3 linked regions of the Astyanax mexicanus genome follow. The protein of the gene in region 1 binds, or shares a complex with, the protein of each later gene. Links are inferred from orthologs where the notes say so. Each region holds a gene or a part of one and is shown in the gene's direction. Other genes may lie near its edges.

What was found.
Region 2: dpf3 (region 1) and smarcd2 share a complex: the UniProt entries of both Homo sapiens proteins name them as parts of the BAF complex. The link is inferred for Astyanax mexicanus from reciprocal best matches to the Homo sapiens genes DPF3 and SMARCD2.
Region 3: dpf3 (region 1) and actl6b share a complex: the UniProt entries of both Homo sapiens proteins name them as parts of the BAF complex. The link is inferred for Astyanax mexicanus from reciprocal best matches to the Homo sapiens genes DPF3 and ACTL6B.

Annotation. Positions count from the first base shown.
Region 1 is NC_064408.1:78,429,037-78,436,024, forward strand, and holds the start of dpf3 (zinc finger protein DPF3), read left to right. Parts: upstream 1-3,879; 5' UTR 3,880-3,953; coding exon 3,954-3,973; intron 3,974-4,661; coding exon 4,662-4,742; intron 4,743-6,988. Other genes in the region: wdr21 (WD repeat domain 21), read right to left, coding at 2,452-2,558. UniProt on the Homo sapiens protein: Belongs to the neuron-specific chromatin remodeling complex (nBAF complex).
Region 2 is NC_064422.1:21,924,746-21,932,763, reverse strand, and holds the start of smarcd2 (SWI/SNF-related matrix-associated actin-dependent regulator of chromatin subfamily D member 2), read left to right. Parts: upstream 1-4,989; 5' UTR 4,990-5,122; coding exon 5,123-5,278; intron 5,279-6,632; coding exon 6,633-6,814; intron 6,815-8,018. Other genes in the region: atxn7l3b (ataxin-7-like protein 3), read left to right, coding at 1,322-1,341. UniProt on the Homo sapiens protein: Involved in transcriptional activation and repression of select genes by chromatin remodeling (alteration of DNA-nucleosome topology).
Region 3 is NC_064420.1:26,447,253-26,454,370, forward strand, and holds the start of actl6b (actin-like protein 6B), read left to right. Parts: upstream 1-4,089; 5' UTR 4,090-4,568; coding exon 4,569-4,593; intron 4,594-5,644; coding exon 5,645-5,721; intron 5,722-5,890; coding exon 5,891-6,056; intron 6,057-7,118. UniProt on the Homo sapiens protein: Involved in transcriptional activation and repression of select genes by chromatin remodeling (alteration of DNA-nucleosome topology).

The DNA of each region.
Region 1 (6,988 bases):
ATTAAACAGATTAAAATATGTTATTTTCAAATGGTGATTCACAACTGACATTTAATTGTAGACTAAGACTAGGCTTAATCTATGGAGCTCAAGAAAAATAAATATATACTAGTGCATCTAAAAAAAAATGACATGGCTCTCCAAACCATCATTGACCATCAGTGAATTTTGCAATTAATTTGGAAATTAAGGAGCAGAGTCTGGATGAAGAGTGGAGAGGCACACAGTCTAAGCTGCTTGAGGTCTAGTGTGAAGTTTCTACAATCAGTGATGGTTTGGAGAGACATGTCTTCTGCTGGTGTTGCTCCACTGGGTTATTTCAAGTCTAAAGTCAGTGCAGTGTTTCCCCAGAAAATCTTACAGCACTTCATTCTTCCCTCTGCTGACAAATTGTGAACTTATGAAGATGTGGATTTTATTTTCCAGCAGGACTTGACACACCACCCACACTGACAAAATTACCAACAGGTCTTAATAATATTCACATTATACAGATTTTTTAGTTTTTGTTGGCTGTAAGCCATAATCATCAACAATAAAATAAATAAATGCTTAAAATAAATCACTCTGTGTATAATACATCTATATAATATATGAGCTTCACAATTTGAGCTGAAATAAAGTAACTTTTCATTGGTATTCTAATTTTTTGAGATGCTATAATACACGGGTCCAAAAGTACTCATACACTCACTGTAATGTGTGAATTCAGCTGCTGACACAGGTGCTCAACTAAGCACACAACAGTACTCCCTAAAAAGCAGATGCTGTTACTAGGGCTGGACCCGAATATTCGGGTATTGGGATATTCGTTCGTTGAGTAGGTATTCGGTTTTTAATTTTGGTATTCGGATATTCGTTTTTTTTCTCCTTTCCAGAGTTCCACCTCACTCTAACCACTTCTGTTTTCGCGGGTCCCGTCAGAATATCTTGCGCGTGGGACAGAACTGAACTGTTATTGGCTGGAGCGGGAGTTTAATCCAGACGATGCGGGAGCAAATTAATAAATAGTTAAGAAAACTGTAATAATTGTAAAAAAAAAAACCTAAAGAAAACTCTCAACGCGCAGGATGGACCGACACACACACGCACACACCGATGGTGTTTGGACTGGGGTAAGGAACGGGACCGCACTATTCAGCGCTGCTGTTTTAATAAATATATAAGTAAATTTGAAGCATTAAATGTAGTTTATTTAATTTATATTAGGAACGTGGGGCGGGAGCGGCAGAAATGTGTATGTGGCGGGCGGGCGCGGGATTAAAAGAAGCAATTTTTTTGCGGCGCGGTAACGAGACAGAAACGCGGGAGCGTGGAAGAGTGGGTTTAAAAATCAGTCTTACGCAGACCTCTATTATACATGATAAAAAAAAAATGCAGGCTCTTCGAAACTGATTTATATAATAAAACGTAAGGGGTAATGTGGCAACAGTAGGGGCTAAATCGGTTACAAAAGCCTGGCCTACAAAAATGATGTCTGAACGAATTTCCTCTTATCTAATATAATTTAAAATGGTTTAAAAATATAAAATAATTTCTAAGCAAACGAAATATTTAATATTGAGCTTATAGCCCAAGTGCAAAAATACAAAATCAGTAATACGGCTATGCCCTGCACAATCCTTAAACCGAAATAGACCAAGTACAATAACGTCATTAACAATGACTTTCCTCTTCTCTAATATAATTTAACATGGTTTAAAAATATAAAATAATTTCTAAACAAACGAAATATTTAATATTGAGCTTATAGCCCAAGTGCAAAAATACAAAATCAGTAATATGCCCTGCACAATCCTTTAACCGAAATAGACCAAGTACAGTTTACAATGACTGTCCTCTAATATAATCAACAATGTTTAAGAATATAAAATACTTCCTGAACAAACGTTTTTTTTTTTTTTTTTTTTAAGCAAATAGCCTAAGTGTGAAAACACAAACAGCAATTTACTGGGCTGGCTTGCGCAGCGGAGAAACCGTGCAGCAGCAGCCTCCTAGCCTGCTTATGCAGCGGATAAGCCGCGGTGTGGGGCAGCAGAAATTCCGGGATGAAAACACAAAGAAATCTGGGCTAAAAACACAGAAAAAATATGGGGTGAAAACACAAAAATCCGGGATAAAAACACCAAAAATCCGGGGTGAATATGTCTCGTCGGTCAGAGCAAATTGGACATTTTTCAGTGGATTAAATGGGCCGTGATTTGCTTTTTTTTTTTTTTTTTACCTCTTTTTTTAAAAAACGAATATTCGAAAATTCGCTTCGAATCAGTGCCGAATATCCGGAGCTCAAAAAACGCTATTCGGGCCAGCCCTAGCTGTTACTGGGAGACACAGTTCACCCATTAAAACCTTTGGCTTCAGGCAGTAGTCATTCAGTGTAGCTGAACAGCAATGCATTAACAGGTTAGCACTTATTTTAGGGGAAAATGATAACTAGAGCAGATGTTTTACCCATCCTCGTGACTTCTGCCAGTGGAATGATCTCTCCTCCAGTCTGCTCGACGATAATGATGGTGAAGCTGGTGTTTTCCCCTTCCTCGCCAATTTCGTCTCCCCATTTCTCGTATTCATATGTAATGAGAGGCACTGAGGTAAGAACAGCTACAAGCTCACACGTCCAGCCCGCTGACCATGAAGAAACATGGATAAGGCACGTCTGAGCATTAGCGAACTTAGTTAGCTACATTGAATAGGATAGATAGGTTAGCTAGTCAGTCAGCTAGCCTGCTAGCACCTAAACGACTACCACGTAGCTAGTGGTAGTACACGTGGCAGCCCATGTTTTTTAGCTTGGTTCCACAGATTCCGCACACTTTAAGCCTCACTTTAACTCTTTAACTCGCTGTTTTATTCCCGAGTGTGACTGTTTTCCACCAAACAACTTCTTCACCCGCTCACATAAACAAACACACACGGGTATTGTACTTCCTGCCTCGGACAGCGGCGTTTCCTCGTGTGGCTCAGCGAACACCCCGCCTACTAAGCGCTTATTGGTTGTTTCACCAAAAATATGTATAATTTAATCACGGGATTGGATATCTGAGATGTCAATCACAGCAGAGGACGGTGTAAAAGGGCCACAGACCGTTGGTAAAAAACAAAAGATTAAGTCGTTTATTTTCCAAAAAAATATGAAATGAGTTGATGGATAAGTTAATATAAGAGATATCATGTATGCACCAAAAAAACATGAAAAAAAAAAAAAAAATATATATATATATATATCTAGAGAGAGAATTTAATATATTCTTAAATTGATTTAATTATTTTTGTTTGTTTTAAAAATATGTAATGAAGTGTCTGCTGATAAGTTCAATCAAATGTTATTTTTTATTAATCTAATTATTTATCTCTTAAGTTGACAGTTTTAAGGTAGTCTGTTCACTTTATTGTAAATTATTTTAGTTTGTTTTAATTAAATCTTTTTTTTTTGTTTGTTTGTGTTTTAATCTATCTTGCATATCAATCACCCACTCAGTCAGCTTTCACACGGAAAAAAAAAATTAGGGAAACCCTCTTTTTAATGCATTTTTAATGCAGGGACTGATAAACAAATCAATAAAAAATATGGCATTTAAAAAAAATAAGATTTAAATAAAAATTATTAAAAATAAAATGATAAGTGAACAGGCTAACTTAAAGCAGTCAAATTAAGGGATACATAATTAGATTAATACAAAATAACATGCTTGACCATATCATGATACATTTTATCACATTTCTGTGAAACAAACAAAAAACATCTAATCAATTTAAGTATATTTTACATTATATTTATACGAACACATATAATATAGCTATATAAATGTATGTGCTTTTGTTACAGTTTTGACATATTTAAGCCACGCCCCTATCTTAAATTATTTTATTGTATTGGGCGTATCTGCTGATTCTTTTTCATAAGGGTCCCAAAGACGTCTGAGATTTTGAATACTGGGCTACAGCGTGGCAGGATGGCGACTCTCACTCGGACGTAAGTAATAAAATACAAAATGTATTTTATCGTTTTTTAAACGTTTGTATTTTAGTTAGGAGCGTATTATCTCCAGTTATTATCGTCCTGCCTGCGGTGGACAACGCCGTTTCCTCGTGTGGCTCAGCGAACGTCCCGCCTACTTAGCGTTAATTGGTTGGTTCACCAAAATATGTATCATTCCATCATACGATTGGTTTTGTGCGATGTCAATCACAGCATTGAACGGGACGAGAGGGACAATAACACGGAGCGCTTTTATATGTTGTAATTTACCTGTCGTGGACAGAGAGTAAAGACTATAGGTTAACTAACTTAATGTTAAATAAATTGATGCGGTAATGAAAACCTTTTTTAAAATAAAAAGGCAAACATGCATGAAAAATATGAACATTCAGCATATATACCGTGCAACATATGCATAAATATATGACTATATACCAGCAGACACTGCACTTCTCTAACTATATTTCTGTAAAAATATCGGGATATCTGATCAAAACGAGCTAAAAGGCGTTAAAAAATAAAGCGTGTATAAAAATATCACGTATCTGGAACGTAAAGATGTATGGGTTTTTGTTAGGGTTTTGACAGCTTCCCTAAGCCACGCCCACGTCTTAAATCCCTTTATTGTATTGGCCAAACTGCTGGACACTGAGGTCCGTATTGGTTGTTTTTTTTTCATAAGGGTCCCAAAGAAGTCTGAGATTTTGAATATTGGGTTACAGTGTGGCAAAATGGCGACTGTCATTCAGAATCCACTAAAAGCGTAAGTAGTAAAATGGATATATACATTTATGTATGTGTTGTGGTTTTGTAAATATGTGTGTGTGTGTGTTTCGGCGGGGGCGTGTGTATCGCAGTTACAGAGCCCGGTTATTGAGCTGCTGCTGAAGGAGCGGGTTTTTATCCCGCAGATTCGGAGCTGATGTTTGATTTGAGGGTCTGTGAGATGTGAGCAGTCTGCGCGCTGCTGCCCAGCACTAGTTTCAGTCTTCGTGTGAGTGTGAGTGTGCTTATGTGCTGCATGGTGATGTGCAGGTCGGTTAGACAGGGGGTTGATTGTAAGTTCCAGGATTTCTTACCTGCGTGTTTCTGCACTTCTTCTTCTTCTTCATTACAGCAGCGCTGTGACTGTAGTTAACTAGTTACTGGTCCTGTCTCACAGCCCGGCCGCCGTTCCTCATCAGCGGGTGTAGAATAAGTGAGATGTAGTAACAGAGGTGACCGGGAGCTCGTTTACTGGTCGCTCTATACAGCTCTGGAAAAAAATAAGATTGCACTTCAGTTTCTGAATCAGTTTCTCTGATTTTGCTATTTATAGATTTATGTTTGAGTAAAATGAACATTGTTGTTTTATTCTATAAACTGCGGACAGCATTTCTCCCAAATTCCAAAAAAAATATTGTCATTTAGAGCATTTATTTGCAAAAAATGAGAAATGGCCGAAACAACAAAAAAGATGCAGAGCTTTCAGATCTTAAATAATGCAAAGGAAACAAGTTCATATTTATAACGTTTTAAGAGTTCAGAAATCAATATTAGCTGGAACAACCCTGGTTTTTAATGACATTTTTATGCATCTTGGCATGTTCTCCTCCACCAGTCTTACACACTGCTTTTGGATAACTTTATGCCACTCCTGATGCAAAAAATCAAGCAGTTCAGCTTGGTTTGATGGCTTGTGATCATCTATCTTTCTCTTGATTATATTCCAGGTTATCAATTTGATAAAATCAAAGAAATTCATCCTTTTTCAGTGGTCCCTTATTTTCTTCCAGGGCTGTGTGTGTACAGTGTTGGTGTTTAAAGTTGTAGGAGGACGTGGGGAATGTTCTCAGGTCTGATATTAGTCCTGCTCTGATCAATGACATTTTTTTACAGGCTGAAAAACAGCCAAAAAGTATTTTTTATAAAGTGTTATATTAGTATAGTGGTATATCTTTATATAGTGTTATATTATTTTGGCTGAGTGAAACCTCAGTGGACTCAAGTGAGATAAACTAGCGTTAACCTGCACACAGTGGGAGTATCATACAAATATATTCATATTTGCAAAAGTTGAAAAGTAATTCAGTAACTGTTAATCACTGAACTGCATGATACTCTATTTAAAACTTGATCAAATAAAATGTGTGTACTAATGTGTGTAATAATTAAGTAATGTTGAAAAAGTAAGCAACTAAGCCATGGGTTAAGTGGCATTAAAAACGTATAGGATTTATATAAATAAATGCACTGAAACTGCATAAACTCTGAATAAAAGACAGGAAAACCCTAAAATAGAACTTAGGGGGAGTTACACATAATTAGAATAACTTTGTTAAATAATACATACCTAACTGCATATTTATATATTGGTATAAATGAAAATGTGTATGTTTCTGCAGTGTGAAGTTAAATACACCACATAGCAGTATCATGATTTCTGTTGTTGTCTGCAGAATGTATCCAGTATTACACTGGACTGCAGAAAATATAATTCACTAAAATGATTTATTATTAATCACTGAACCACATGGCTCCCTATAAAAAGTGTAAAATATCATGTGAGGTGCCTGTGGGTTAAACAACATATAAAACTATCCTTAGATCCCCTCAGGTTCCTCATGAGTTTTAACAGCCTACACCATTTAATTTAGTAAACTGCTCTTGGGTTCATTTTAAAATACTAATTCCAGGCTGTTTACCTTTTAATTAATGATTACACTGATTTTAATTTAGGTTGAATCTTAAAGAAATATATTTCTTAAGTAAACCATGTTGATCTGCCATGCTTTACAATGAACTCCTTGCCCAGTGTTATAGTGATTCTGTACAGCATATTTTTAAAATATACACCACTGTTCAAAAGTGTGAAATCACGTTTCTTTAATAATAGAAAAAATAGAGATGAAAAAAATTAAATTATTATATCATATTAGGTCAAGTGGTATAAAATTAAGTATAAAGTATTAAGTTGCACTGAAATGAATTAATATCTATAAAATATTTAAAGTAAATATCTTAAATGTG
Region 2 (8,018 bases), on another chromosome or scaffold:
TTAATGAAAGACACTTTACTATGTTTAAATTGCATTATCTCTTCACCATACGTAAATTAAAAAATATAACAATATCAATAGTGGCTCAAATGACACCCCGATCATGACCTTGCCCCCTCACCCCCCTGATCTTGTTTTGAAGTATCTTTGTGTGATGTAGCAGTGACAGCACCTTCCAAAAGTATTGGAGCATTGAGAGCTGTAGACATAAAAGGATCTGATACACAGTTTAGAACATTGTGCTTTTTGTCTGACCTCATTTTTGTTATGAGAAATAATATTGGAACATGTGACTTTCAGGTGTATTTTGTTGCCCAGGTGTGTTCTGATACATTGACTGCTCAAACAATAAATAGCTCTGAATGTATATGCTTAGTTTCAGTTTGGATTTAGCCCATGTGGACTGTGCATTTGATATTTAAATGAGTAAACATGAAAAACGAGCAATTGTGAAGCTGAGAGATGATGAAAAATCAATTGGAACCATTGCATAGATATTGTCCATAGCCAATAAAACCACAGCAGTCGAAACATTGTTAATACTGTAAAGAAAGACCATCAAACAACTGCTAGTGGCATCAGCAACAACCTTCAAAAGGTAGGAGTGAAGGTATTGCAATCTACTGTTCGCTGAGGATTTAAAAGCTGGAATTTCCCAAGATGTACAGTGATAAGAATATGGACTGATGAACTTTTACCAATGTGATTGAAAGGCTAAATTTTGGAGAAAGAAAGAATCTGCTCATGATTCCAAACATACAAGCTTGTCTGTGAAACAAAGTTTTCTACTGAAACTTTTGTCTTTCAATTTAAAGAAAGATGCAACCAATCTAATTGGGAGATCCTTCATCATACAGCAAAATGATGACCCAAAACTCACTGCCTGGAAAGCATCGCAGAAGAAGAATGCGAAAGTTTAGTAACGTCAGTGGGTCACAGACGTGATGCAGTTATTGCAAGCACAGGATTTGTAGCTAAATAAGGAATTTCAACTTTAATCTGTATTTAAGTCTATCTGTTCCAATACTTTTGCCCAAAAAAAGAAAAATGGGTGGGTTCCGATAAAAGGTGCCATCTTCTGAACTGTGTATCAGAATTAGATGTACCTGGAAATAAAAGCTGAAATGTTGATCTTTTGCATGATATCAATTTTTAATATCAAACCCAAATGTTTTCAGTCTACAGCAGGTGTGAATACATGGATCAGCCTCACTGTTCCAATATTTTTGGAGGGGTCTGTTTATAGTGTCTTAAATGTGTTTATGTAGATGTTGTTACAGTTTCGTGTTCTAACATCTCACTCAATGAATTGCACATGTAGGAGTGAGGATGACTCATTGACGACGCTCCAAGTTCGTCCTTCAGCTTTGCTGGGCTCAAAGCGACATGAGAAGAACCAAGGGAGTCCGCGTGTGTTGCTAAGAGACGAGTCGTTTCCACAGTAACGACATTGGCAATGGGGGGGGGCCCTCCAATCACTACCCACAATGCCGTTTGGCTCACCTTCAGTAACAAACGCACGACCTGAATTGTGCTGACTGGCGGAAGGGCCATCGATTAGCTTCACCGTTCGGTTTACACAAGTGTTTTCTTTCTCACTCTGTTTCTCTCTTTCTCTCTTTCTTTTTCTCTTTATTTTCCTGGAATATTTTGCACAATGAATCGATGTCGTGTTGATCGTTTTGTCTTGACAGTGTAACTTGATAGTTCTTCAGAGTGGCGCGACCTGGTGGCGTGGAACGCGCACAACAATGGGAAGCTCTCAGGGAGGACCGGGGCGGGGCCATTGGTTTGAATGGCAGGTGGTAGTAAGCAAGTGGCGGATGCCTCCCTTCACTTGAGACTTTTGATTTTTCTTTTGCACGTCTTCACTAGGTCTTAAACGGCTGAGGAGGACGTGTTTTTAAATGATGGCCAAGAAAAGATATTTGCAAAGAACAGGACTGATAAATAACTCATCAATCAATGCTGCTTATTTCACCATTTCGAGTTGTAAGGGGCTTTTTGCACGAATCCACAAAGGTGCATCCTTTTTTTTTTCCTGGTGATCCTCAAGGCAAAAGAGCCGTGTTGACACCTTGAAGAACAATTATGATCTTCTAATATCGCACTCTTACAGGAAAAAATATTATAAAATAAAACTTTGAGACTCTGTATAAACACTTGAAATTGCCTCTGGCAGAAAGACGTACGTATTCCTTTGAGGAGAACGTATCAAGACTAGAATTTCTCCTTTTATCATTTTTTTGTTTCTTCCTTTCTTGGTCTTGTTTCTGTGTACTAGATGTTTACAGTGTAAGGAATCATGTGTGTCTTCACTGTGTTGTAACTGTACATACATTTGACTAGGTGAAAAATGCTGCTATCCTGGCCAGGCCATGAGCCGTATGCTTGTGGACATGTCAACACGTGTAATAAACGATCAGAACCATGTATGTGTGTTTGAGGTTCACTTCAGTACCCTGCTGAAAATAGCCTGGCTAGCTCCACCCTAGCTCACCCTTGTTAAGCAGGCTGACCAGCTTAGCTTGTGACCAACAACCTGAAGCTAACAACCAGGTTATTGACTAGCTTAGACAAGTTTATTGTGCTGCTGGTAGACAAGTTAGTCCATCAAACTCAAAGGAAAACATACGTAATGCTGATCAAGAGGTAACAAGTTACTTAACCCACTTAACCACCTGGTATAGGGTATATTTTCACCTAGATGACGAGCTTTTCAACCAGCTCTTTGTTTATGATAAAAGGGATGAATGTAGGTTGTTAGATGCTAAATAAAAAAGTCAATTTTATAAATGTTGTATTACAGGCTTGCATGTTGTTCCATTGATAACTCCTCACATGGAGACAATGAAAACTGGTACGTTATTGTACAGTTAATTTCTGGATTTCTCCTGTAACTTTTGACACAATTATGTTTAAGAAACTAAGTAAAATAAGTATTTTTCTAAATAATGCAACTCAATGGCCTAGCCTATGAACAGTTATGAATACACACCAGGTTAGGCTAATGTATTGACTGAGGAATTCATAGCAAAATATTCTCCAAAAAGAAGTTAAGAATGTATTTTGCATGTTACTCCATGTTAAACTTCACAGAAATATGCACTGGTTTAGAACACAGGACCTTCTTCCTGTATTTTATTTCATGCTCCCAACCCAGAAAGATCTGACCAATAAGCATATACATGTCACGTTTGTTGTGACTTATTTTTAAGTGCTTGAATTTTTCTCCTATTAAACCAAGTCAAGAGGAAAATGCTTCAAGTTTCCAAATAAACTATAGGTGTGGAAATGCAGTAAGCTGATCAAGCCAAATAGAATAGATAATACACACAGTTAGCCTTGTGATAATGTTACATATTTCATTGCAAATCCCATAGCGAGCTACTTTACATTAGCATTGTCCCTCTGGTGGTAATTATGAAGGTAATTGATGCTGAGATTCAAAAAGAAGTCTTGTTCATCCCAACTCTAGCCCTTTGTCAGTTGTAAGATTAATACCGCACAGCCACTCAACAGAACGGTGACTTCCTTTACAATTCAAACACAAAAAGGGGAAGAACATGGTGGGTACCCAGCATGGATATGATGGCAGCTGTGGTTAGAAACTGCCAGTAATGAATGCAGAAGTAACAAGTACCACCACCAAACAGGAACCACTGGACTTCCAGTGTTTACCATTTGTCTTTGCTTTCCTGGCAAACTGTGGACCTCTGTGCTAACCATATATTCATCGCAGTACAAAAGTTTTTTGAAGGAAACATTTTGGTTGAATTTTATCTACAAGAACAACCATTTTTGTGTATGTTGCTGTTGTCACAGCCATTAAAATATTTCCATATTTTCATCCATTCATCTTGACCCCAAAACATATATCCAACAATCAATCACTGGTCACAGCGCATCATAGCTTGGTGGTGTGTCCACAAACTACAGAAACCATCTGTGAGTGTCTGACCACCCTGCTGAAAAGCGAGCTTAGGAGCCGCTTTTTCATTCTTTAGGATGGTCTAAGTTGATCCTTGGTGGTAAAGGGGGTTGAAAAAACTTTTTGAACATTGGAAAGCTTGGTAATGCTGGTTGATCAGTTTTATTATGCTAGTTATGCTGGTCTTGAATGTCTCCCTACTTGGTCTTGTTGGTCATGCTGGTTAACCATTATAGTCACGTATGTTCACACTGGTTGTTTACCAGCTAAACCCTTAAAGTCACAGAAACAAAGACATTTTATGCTGCTTAAAATCTGGTCAGACGTATGTTAACTAGCTAGCTGTGTACTGGGAAAACATCATAGAAGTCACTACCACCCACAGTGGTGGTTATGAACATGACCTTAGGGGAATCTGTCCAATTGAACAGACAGGCTACTCCACATTCATCGCAGGAGGTCCTAGACTTATATCTTGCATATATCATGTTCTTTAGCATCCATGGGACAGGACAAAATAATTGAGACAATACAATTTCCTGTCCCATGACATTTGGCATGTTTATATATAAATATTCTGTTTTAGACATTTTTTTATTTATTGTGTAGTGTTTGTTATTATTATCATTATTAATATTGAAGTAGTGGCAGTGGTTCTTGTAGGTGTTTTATTCTAAAATTTATATTCCTTCCCTTTGTTTTATATATATGTGTGTGTGTGTGTGTGTGTGTGTGTTTGTGTGTGTTCATCTTAGATTAAAAAAATGTGTAATTGTACAAGCACATATCATTAATGATAATAATGCTTTTTAAATGTTGATAGTACTCTCTGTGAGGAATTGATTTAGTAATCAGAAGTGTATTACGCTAGCTAGAAGTGTAAAAATATAGATGTTTACAACAACCGTGTCCAAGAGGCATTCGGTGGGATTATCTGGCAACCCACGGAGGCCCCCCACTTGAACCTCAGCCCTTAGTCATTGGTCAATCTCTTGTAAAACGACTGAGCAACCAATTATAGCGCGGACTGGCAGGAGGGGGCGGGACCAGAGAGAAGGAGAGAGGGAGATAGAAAGAAACAGAGGAAGAAAAGGAGAGAGAGAAACAGAAACAGGAGAGAGAGAGAGAGAGAACACGAGCGCGCGTGTGTTTTATTTAGTATAGTTTAGTTATCGTCGGAGCTCGGGCAGCATGGCTTCCAGACCGGGGTTCCTCCCGAACAGCCCGGCGGGTCCAGGCACCGCGAACCCCGGCCCCCCGGGGCCCCCAGGCAGTGTGCGTATGGCGGGGATGCCGCAGAGCACGGGGGGCTATCGGGGTCTCCCGGTCCCCACTGGACAATACCCGGTAAGCCCGTGTGGTGGCAGCGCGACCCTAACGAAAGTTTGGCAGCTCGCTGAATTCAGTTATTTTCGTTAAATTCTTATTTTTTCGAAATTTAGCGAAGTTCGTTATTTTCGTTACGGCCGTTGGCTGAAATCCCCTCACGCGCTTTTGTCTGAGGGAGCGGCTCGCTAAGCTAACTGACAGTACACACATATACACACAGTCATTACAGCGCGTGTATGTTCATTAATGTCCAAAAACCGTCCTTAATACAGTTACGGATTCATTACCGTGCTAAGAAAATGTCGTTACCGTCTGTTCTGTAATTTAAAGTGCAAAATAACGGGAAAAGTCCGTTTTTAAGATGTTACGGTTGTATCTGCGTTAGCATGAACGTTGACCGAACTTCCGCGTTTAAAGTGAACTGACTTAAACCGATACTCGTTTACACGCTGAAAGAATCGATTTAAATAAGTTAAAAGAAGCGGATTTAACGGGGCGCACAAACGTCAGTTTTGGCATCATGTCATTTCAATGTTTGGCTTTGACGTGATGTTGCGTCACATCTCATAAACAGATGTGAAAACAAGGCTTCGGGAGGGGAATTTGATAGCAGTCTTTCAAATGGACTTTGTCTCACTATTAAAGTGGTTAAGAATAATAGGAATAAAACTATTGTGGTTCATGAATAATTTATATTTTCCTCATGTTCTGTTATTGTGTAGCTTAAGCTCTTTTACCCTTTAATGATTGGAGTTGTCATCCATATACATAATTAATATGGTTTTGGTCTATATTTTTTAACAACCGTTTTTTTTTTCAACAAACAGTACCATTAAATGTTTTCCAAGCTATTGTTTTCTTTACATTTAATTCCAAAACTGTATTTATTTTTTATGAATAGTAAGCAGTCCTCTTCAACCTTATCTGCAGCTTTTATATTGAACATATGTATATGAATTAAGGAAAAGTGTAAAATATAAATGATGTACAGTCTCGATTATCCCATTTTAAAATAAAATTAAAACAGTAATCCAGAGAGGTAGCACCAAATATTAGCCAACCAAAATTATTTAGCAGAAAGTGCTTTCTTACTCAACACTCAGATAATAAATACTGAACAATATTGTGCTTTATTGACGTGTCTGCTGGGATATTAAAATGTTCAGTGTTGAATAATTATTTTAATTGTAGTTTTGTATAAAAAAAAATAAAAGGGGCAAAATTAATGAGTTAAATAAAATGTGTTCATTGTTTGGTCTTTAACAAAAAATGCCTAGAGTCCGTTTTTGTCTCTTTACCTCTTTTATCATTCTGCTGTTTGTCATACGTGGTCCAGTGTTTCTGACCTGTCTGTGTGTGTGCGTGGTTGCAGCGTCCCAGCATGCCGCCCAGTCGAAACATGCCCATGGGTGGGATGGGGCCAATGGGATCCCCCATGCCTGGGCCATCCTATGGTGGCAGCATGCGCCCCGGCATGCCTCAGGCAGCGCTGGACCCGGTCCGCAAGAGACTGCTCCATCAGCAGGCAGGGGGGCTGGTGGGGCCTCGGAGAGGGTGAGTGTTCACTGGAGGTTGGAGTTTAGCAGCAGCAATTTTTTTTATTTAAACCATTACAATGTTGTTTTCCAGTGGCATGTTGTTACATATTAAAGCTTAATCTTTATTTATTATTTACTAGTAAAGAGTGATTAATTATGCTGAATTATTCATTTCTTTTCATTTGCGCAAATAGAACATAAAAAATTTACTCTGCTATTTGTATAACTTCTTCTGTTAAACACAACTTTAACAGGTAAACGAGTGAATTAAACAAGTAGGAGAGGAAACACGGAAAACCTATGCTTCACAGAAGCAGCAAGTGTGTGTGTGCGCGTGTGAGAGAAAGAGAGAGAAAGGAAGGACCAAAGGAGACCAAGGGAGAGGAAAGAGGTGCAAGTTAGCTGTGAGATTTAATCCATATTTCAACATAAATAAAATATAGCCTACCTTCTGAACTCAACAGTAGCAAAACTGTATTTGCATTGCTAAATAAACCTGGTGATACATAATTTGTCTCTGTAAAAAGAGTGATTTATGGGTGAAAGCTAGGGCCAAAATTAGTTAACTGATAAATTTGCTTAAAAAATGTTCTGTGATGTTCTAGAATGTTGCAGACTGCAAAACTAATTGGAACAGATTGTAACTTGCTAGATTTTTGTTTCAAATAATTTAAAAAGCAAACCTACCCTTATGTATTTAGGGCTTTGTGTACCAAACTCATACAGAACCGTGATGTCCAATCCATGATGTGAACCGAACCAAGACTAGCAATGTACCATTACATCCCTATTATTCACTTATTCCAGTTCCACAGCATTTCTGTGGCCAACATTGAATGGGTAGAGTGTGGCTAACACACTTAAACTTGTCCAGCAGTGAAGCAGCAGGAAGGGTTTCCCCACATTCAAAGCCTTGTACATTAACAGAAAAGCTCATCTCAGTTTGATCTTCTAGCATGTGCAAATTGACAGTGGCTTGTCCTTTGGGGCAGAAAGAACTTTTTGTACCCTTCCTCAGAGATGCATTTGTTTCCGCCCTGAAGGGAGGAGTGAAGGCACTGGTGTAAAACAAAGGAAGCTTAACTCTAACACTGTCTCATGATCTAAACTGCTGGATTACGCCGAAAGGAAGAAGTGCTAATAGAGCTGTGCCATCTGTACAACTTTAAAAACAAGCTTGGGAGGAAGATGGATCTATTTTAGTAATGGTGTTTATTATT
Region 3 (7,118 bases), on another chromosome or scaffold:
TCATGCCAGGTCTGAGCAAGTATAAAGCCTTCCTTGGACAGTAGAGAAGTTATAGAGAGATATTCCAATAAAAACTACTCTTTTTTTAATACATTTAATTTCATAAGAAACAATGAATGAGCAGGTGGTCCATATATAGACAGTTTAGTCCATACAGTTTGTCTTAAAACAGCAGTTTCTGAATCATACTGATGGTAAACTGACTGCAACAGCAAGAATGGCAACTTTGTCATTTCCACTCCAAAATTCTGATACTGCACTACAGAACTTTGAAGCTGTATGACACTGCTCTCCAGTACTGTATCAGTGTGTAACCCAATTCATATATGGGCCTGTTTACACCTGCCATTGTCTCTGGATGGTATCTATATGCTTGACCGAATTCTGTTTACACTTGTATTACAATACCTCCCCGGTTTGACCAGAAGAAATACGTTTTTATTTTCCAGTATAAAAGAACAATAACACCCACACTTATCCTGTTATTTCCTATTTCTCATAAAAATTCTAAATACGCATATATATATATACACATGTTAAACAAGCCCTATGTGTAACTTCCTGTAAGGTTACTCTACCTTCTTAGTCCACCGCTGCTTTTGTGTCTTTCAGCTTGTCAACAAATGCTTGTGTACAGCTTGTCCATGAGGGAGCCTTTAAAGCACCTAACACTACTTTAAGTCAAAACATCTGTTTCTTTCTTTGGTCCGAAGCAGTTAACAAGTTTATTAACTTGGAATGTCACCGTCTTTGGTTTGTTTTGGGTTCACACATAAAAAACTGCAAATAGAACAAAATGCATCACAACAAACCATGAGAGAACTTTCTCTCTGATTATTGGTCAAACATTTCTGGGGCAGACCTAGAAAGTAAATGCATGAAAATAGTGCGGTGTTCCAGACTAGCACATATTTTAGAGCAGTGTCAAAGATAGCATTCGTCAACAGCAGTAGTAATTATCTAGATAACAAATCAGGTCAAATTCAATTCAATTTATTTGATGGTTGGGTCAGATCGAGGTCAGGCCACGTTTACACCTCAAACAATGCGTTTCGGGGGTTCGTTTGGAGCTGAGATGAGATTACCTCCTTTTCACACCAGCCAAAATAAACTGCTCTAGGGGTGCAAATAAACCAGAGTCGGCGTTAACCCGTTTAAAAAGTGCTGCTGTGTAAACAAACACCCTTAAACATACTGTAGGTTTTTCCATTTTCTATCAATGAACCAAGCAAGAGAATCAGTATTGAAAATATTCACGTGGACATTCACATGTACAGCCAATCAGAACACAGTTGACAGGATCCAGGATCCTGTGTTAGTTTAGATTAGCTTCAGGGGCTGTGTCTCAAACTGAGGTAATCTCTAATGTTTACTTTTACATTCTTTAGTCAGTTGCAATGTTCACACCTTGCACAAACATACATCCTGGGAGACCCAATCATAATTGATTGCCAAAATGTACTGCCAGTCCATCTGGCATTTGATATGCACGTCCTGTGACCACTTGTGACTGGATTTCTCACATCACTTCCGCTGGAAAAGGAAGCACCATGGAACTCACTCACAGAGGAAAAACACTCCCTCAATAGCATATGCGTGTGTGTGCAAGACTGACAAGATCAAAGCAGTGTAAAAGTTTGTGTGTGTGGGTAAGACTGAAATGATCAAAGCAGTGTAAATCAGAGTTGTGTGTGAGAGCAGATGTTTCTCAACAGGTGATTTAGACTTGGTGAGAAGCCATCACACACAGACACACACACACACACACACACACACACACACACACAGAGTGTGTGGATTTAAAATTAGCTCATTATTAGATCAGAAAAGGAACTCAGCCACAATAAACACACACTGTTCTAGATGTGTGTGTAAGAGCTGAGTTGAGGTGAGCAGGACTGTAGCCTTACATCACTACTAAAATATTTCAGACCAAACTCTCCTAGTTCTCTCACTTTCTCTCTTCCTCCCCTCTCTTTCTCCCTCTCTTTTTCTCTCTAGATGAAGTCCTTTCTAACATTCTCTTCCCTTTGCTTCCCTCTATCTTCACTCTCCCTTTTCACATATATAAAATCATTTGATGGATAGTTATACCCATGTTTTAATCCACCCCACACCCAGAGAAAGAGGGAGAAAAAGAGATAAGAGAGAGAGAGAGAAAAAGGGAGAGAGGGATGGTGATTAGTGTGTAGAGACACCGCTCCAGCTGTCACAGGACACACGCACGAACAAACATTTTGTCAGTAAGAAATAACTAAGCTGTTAAGCTGTATTTTTGAAATAGTTCGTTCCACCTTATTGCAGCAGTTACACTCTCCATTTAAGGTGGACCGAACATTTCCATTAAGACAGAAATGGTCAGATACAGATGCTCACTGTCAATCTCACCCACTCTTTAAAACACTGACCCTGTTCTAATTTGTGTGTGTTAACTACAGTACCCCCGACCCCTCCCATAGCCCCTCTCTACCTCCAGCGCTAACGTGCTAACGCTAGCCCTCGCGGGCCGCCCTCCACCGGACCCTCGGAGCGAACCGGGAGACACTCACCTTCGCCGGGACGGGGGGCTGCGCTGCTGTCCAAGCGGGTGGTGTGTGTGTGAGTGTGTGTGTGTGTGTGTGTGTGTATGTGAGTGTGAGAGAGTGTGTGTCCGGTTAGATTTCCCCCATGGCCGAACTCTCTCCGGTCCTGTCCAGTAAGAACTAAAACTTTTCCCCCCCGTGCTCCCCCGCGCAGCTGCGCCGTTGTGCGGCCCGCTCTCAGCGCAGCGCGGCCGGACTGAACCACTGCAGCGCTGCGGAGGGGGGGACGGTACAGTCTCTCGGATACGGAATCCCCCCTCAAAGACCGAGCGGAGGGGAGGTGGGGAAGGTGGTCCTGCTGGAACCGGACACCAGGGAGGAGCTTAAAAAGGAGCAACACATAAATAACAGGCCTGGGTAAATACAGACCTCACAAATAAAAGTCCTCACTCACGTTTTTAACAGTAAGTTATATTAATTAGATCAATATGTATTAGTCAATAAACCGATCAATCAATCAACCTTTATTTTGACTCGGAAGTACATCTAGGGCAACCCTCTTTTTTATGTAGCTGAGCATTTACAAATACAGGGATTGACATGATAAAGAAAATAATAACTACATTTAATAATTTAAAAATAACAGTAAATAAAAGATAAAAATAGATTTTAAAAAATCATATTAATAATAAAACTTGGTTTAATTGCTAAGAAATTAAGAAGATAAGAGTAATACAAAAAAACTGTTAATATTAAGTTAAAACTAACTTTTACATAGTACAATAAAAAATAAACATTTATAAATAAAAAACAATAATAACAATAATAATCATAAACTTTTAATAAGTTAAAATGTAATAATACAAAACAAAAAATACAAAAAGAAATAATGAAAGAAATAAAAAGGAAATAAATAACTAAGAGAGGACTAAAATAAAAATAAAAGAATAAATACGATTAAGTAAAACAGGTACAGGCTGTCTGAAGGTGGTTAGATATTAAAAGACTTACAACGACTCAGTTGTACATGTACTACTTACAAAATATTTATAAGAATCTTTTTAGGATTGTAAAAAATACATTATTTATATGTGGTCTTGTAAATTATAATGTATTTATTATTTATTCATTGTGTTTGTGTCAGTGTCCATCATTTGAACACGAATAGTCCAAATAAAATACATGGATAAAAACAAATGCTATTATTTATAAATATACACGTGTTTATTAGATATCAAAGTGCATGCATATTCATTATCTTCTATTTAAATATTTATTTAGATTACTGTATTAATTCAATGTATTTTTTGTTTTATACAGTATTGGAACCATTTATTTTCAGACAATTTTTTTAACAGAATAATAATTAAAATATACACAACATTACAAGTGCCTCTATCAGCATGTCTTAGGATTAGAGCATATGTTCTATACTAAAGTAAACCATTCATGTTTTATAGAAAACATCTATCAGTTAGCCTATCAGCTGCAGCGCGCGCGCGTGTGTGCAGTACTGCAGCCACCAACAGGGGGTGCAGTTTGACCGTTTCTAAACTCAGAACAGCTTAAGGACCGCCATGTCACTCTCACCTTCTGCATACCTCCTCATCCCTCACTTCTTTCATCCTTTTCTCTTTCATTGTTGATTTTGCAAGTTCCTCAGTATGAAACAGGACCAGATGGGGGTTCTGAGTGTGGTTCTTAGTGAATTATATAGCTTACTGTACCACCTCCAAATCCTCTCACACGCAAACACCTACACACACTCCTGTCCACACACTTACATTCTGCTGCAGAAAAGATGATCCCACCTTAGAGCCCTCTCTCTCTCTTTCTCTCTCTCTCTCTTTCTCTCTCAGCCGGCGGGTGCACGCACGCGCACACTGGCGAGCTGTTGCCGAGCTGCAGCTCTCGAAGGAAGAGCAGAGGCACGTGCACGAGCATTATTTAGCCTGTCGTGTCAGTCAGGACTTCAGGACTAATAAACAACAAATTTCTGCACACGACTCGCCTGAGGAGTGAAACTGGAGGGACTGAGCGATAGACATGAGTGGTGGAGTCTACGGTGGAGGTAAGAGAGAAACATCACTGTAACTCCATCATCACTGTAGCTCTGTCATCACTGTAGCTCAATCATTACTGTAGCTCTGTCATCACTGTAGCTCTGTCATCACTGTAACTCTGTCATCACTGTAGTTCTGTCATCACTGTAGCTCAATCATTACTGTAGCTCTGTAATCTCTGTAACTGTCATCACGGTAACTCTGTCATCACTGTAGCTCTGTCATTGTAACTCGATCATTACTGTAGCTCTGTCATCACTGTAACTCCATCATCACTGTAGCTCCATCATTACTGTATCTCCATCATCACTGTAGCTCCATAATTACTGTAGTGCTGTCCATCACTTTTACTCCATCATTACTGTAGCTCCATCGTTTGCTTCTATTATTGATTTTACCACTGTAACTCCATCATCACTTTAGCTTTGTTATCACTGTAACTGTCATAACTGTAGCTCCATCATTACTGTAGCCCTGTCATCACTTTAGCTTTGCCATCATTACTGTAACTCTGGCATCACTGTAGCTCTGCCATTATTACTGTATCTCTGGCAATACTGTAGCTCCATCATTACTGTAGCTCTGTCATCACTCTAGCTCTGCCAACATTACTGTAACTCTGGCAATACTGTAGCTACATCATTACTGTAGCCCTGTCATCACTGTAGCTATCATCACTCTACTTCTGCCACCATTACTGTAACTCTGGCATCACTGTAGCTCCATCATTATTGTAGCTCTGTCATTACTGTTATTCTCTCATCACTGCTGCTCTGTTATCACTGTTGCTCTGTTATCACTGTAGCTCTGCCATCACTGTTATTCTGTCATCACTGTAACTCCACCATCACTGTATAAAAGCCTGTTAAAGCCTCATCCCTTTCTGTCATTACTGTATCATCATTACTGTAACCCCATTCTTACTGTGGCTACATCTCTGTTAATCCATCATCACTTTAGTTATATCATTACTGTAGATCTGTCATCTCTCTCTGTCTCTCTCTTACTGTACTTCTCTCTCTCTCTCTCATTCACACTATCTTTCTTTCTCTCTCTTAGATGAGGTGGGGGCATTGGTGTTTGATATCGGCTCCTTCTCCACTAGAGCAGGTTATGCTGGTGAAGACTGCCCTAAGGTACCCTTACCCATCCATCCATATATTTATCCATCCATCTATCGTTTTAATAACATCCACTAATCCATACCTACATTTATCCACCTTCAGTGTATGAATAAGCAGAAAATATTCTGATGTAAAGCCTCACACCTTTAGATACACCTTGTTTATATCACATCTCCTGCAGGCAGACTTCCCCACCTCTTTAGGAGTGCATGTAGAGGAGGAGGGGCCTGCAGAGATGGGGGCGGAGCAAGATAACAACAGCGGGCGGACTTTCTACATGGACACCACAGCCCTTCATGTACCCCGACCTGGAGTGGAGCTGATATCACCACTGAAGAACGGCATGAGTATGAGACACACACACACACAATCAAATTCTACCATTCTGTTTGATTAGTTTCTCACTGTTTTATTACTTGGTCATCTTGGTCACCTGTCTCACCTCTCAGTGTGTCACTCATACCTTATATATCTGCCTGCCTGCAGTGCGAGTGGAGCAGGGAGAATGAGGAGCTAGCCACCTCAATGTGCTAATCAGCTAGCCATGCTAACTCTGCAGTGCAGAACAGTTTTGAGACTTTTGAACTAGAGACGGACAATTGATCGGCTATGTATTGATATTGGCAGATATTTAAAATAGCCATATTCCACTTGATACCCTTTTAGATCATATCCTCAGTTAAGGATAACAGTAGCTCTGCAAAATTCTAGAGCCTGTACATGGCTGCAGATGCTCATTATAGGCAGTGTTATGCTGGCTCCACTTTGCTTTTACTGTATCTGACTTAAGCGAAAATGTTTGTATAATATGTAAAACCAGTGAATCTTGTGGAGGAAGCAGATTAAACATTTTAACACCACTAACTTGATACCCCTCTTGAGAGTACCTCACTCGGCCCAGTACAGTGAGTATCACAGCAGAGCAGAGCTAACAAACACCACTAACAACACAGAATAGCAAACACTGCAGACCATATTTAACCCCTATTCACTACACTAACCACTACAAAAGTGCATCATGGAATAAAAAGAGGATTCTTTTGGGACAACTCCCCATACATATGTTTTCTTTATAATTTGGATGACTTTAGTATTAATCTACAATGCAGAAATGTTAAAATACTGAAAATAACCTAAAATTAAGGTGTGTCCACTTTTGACTGGTACTGTATATTGGATGTTATCGTGTATTATAGATTGGATTGTATATTAACCGCTCATACAAAAAAAACTCTCATCCAATAATAAATGTAGTCTGATTCTAAGCTTTGATATATATATATATATATATATATATATATATATATATATATATATATATATATATATATAGCTATATAAACTTGTACTAAAGCTGCATCAGTGTCTCATTACAGATGGAGGAGTTTACAGTCTAAATCACAGCTAAA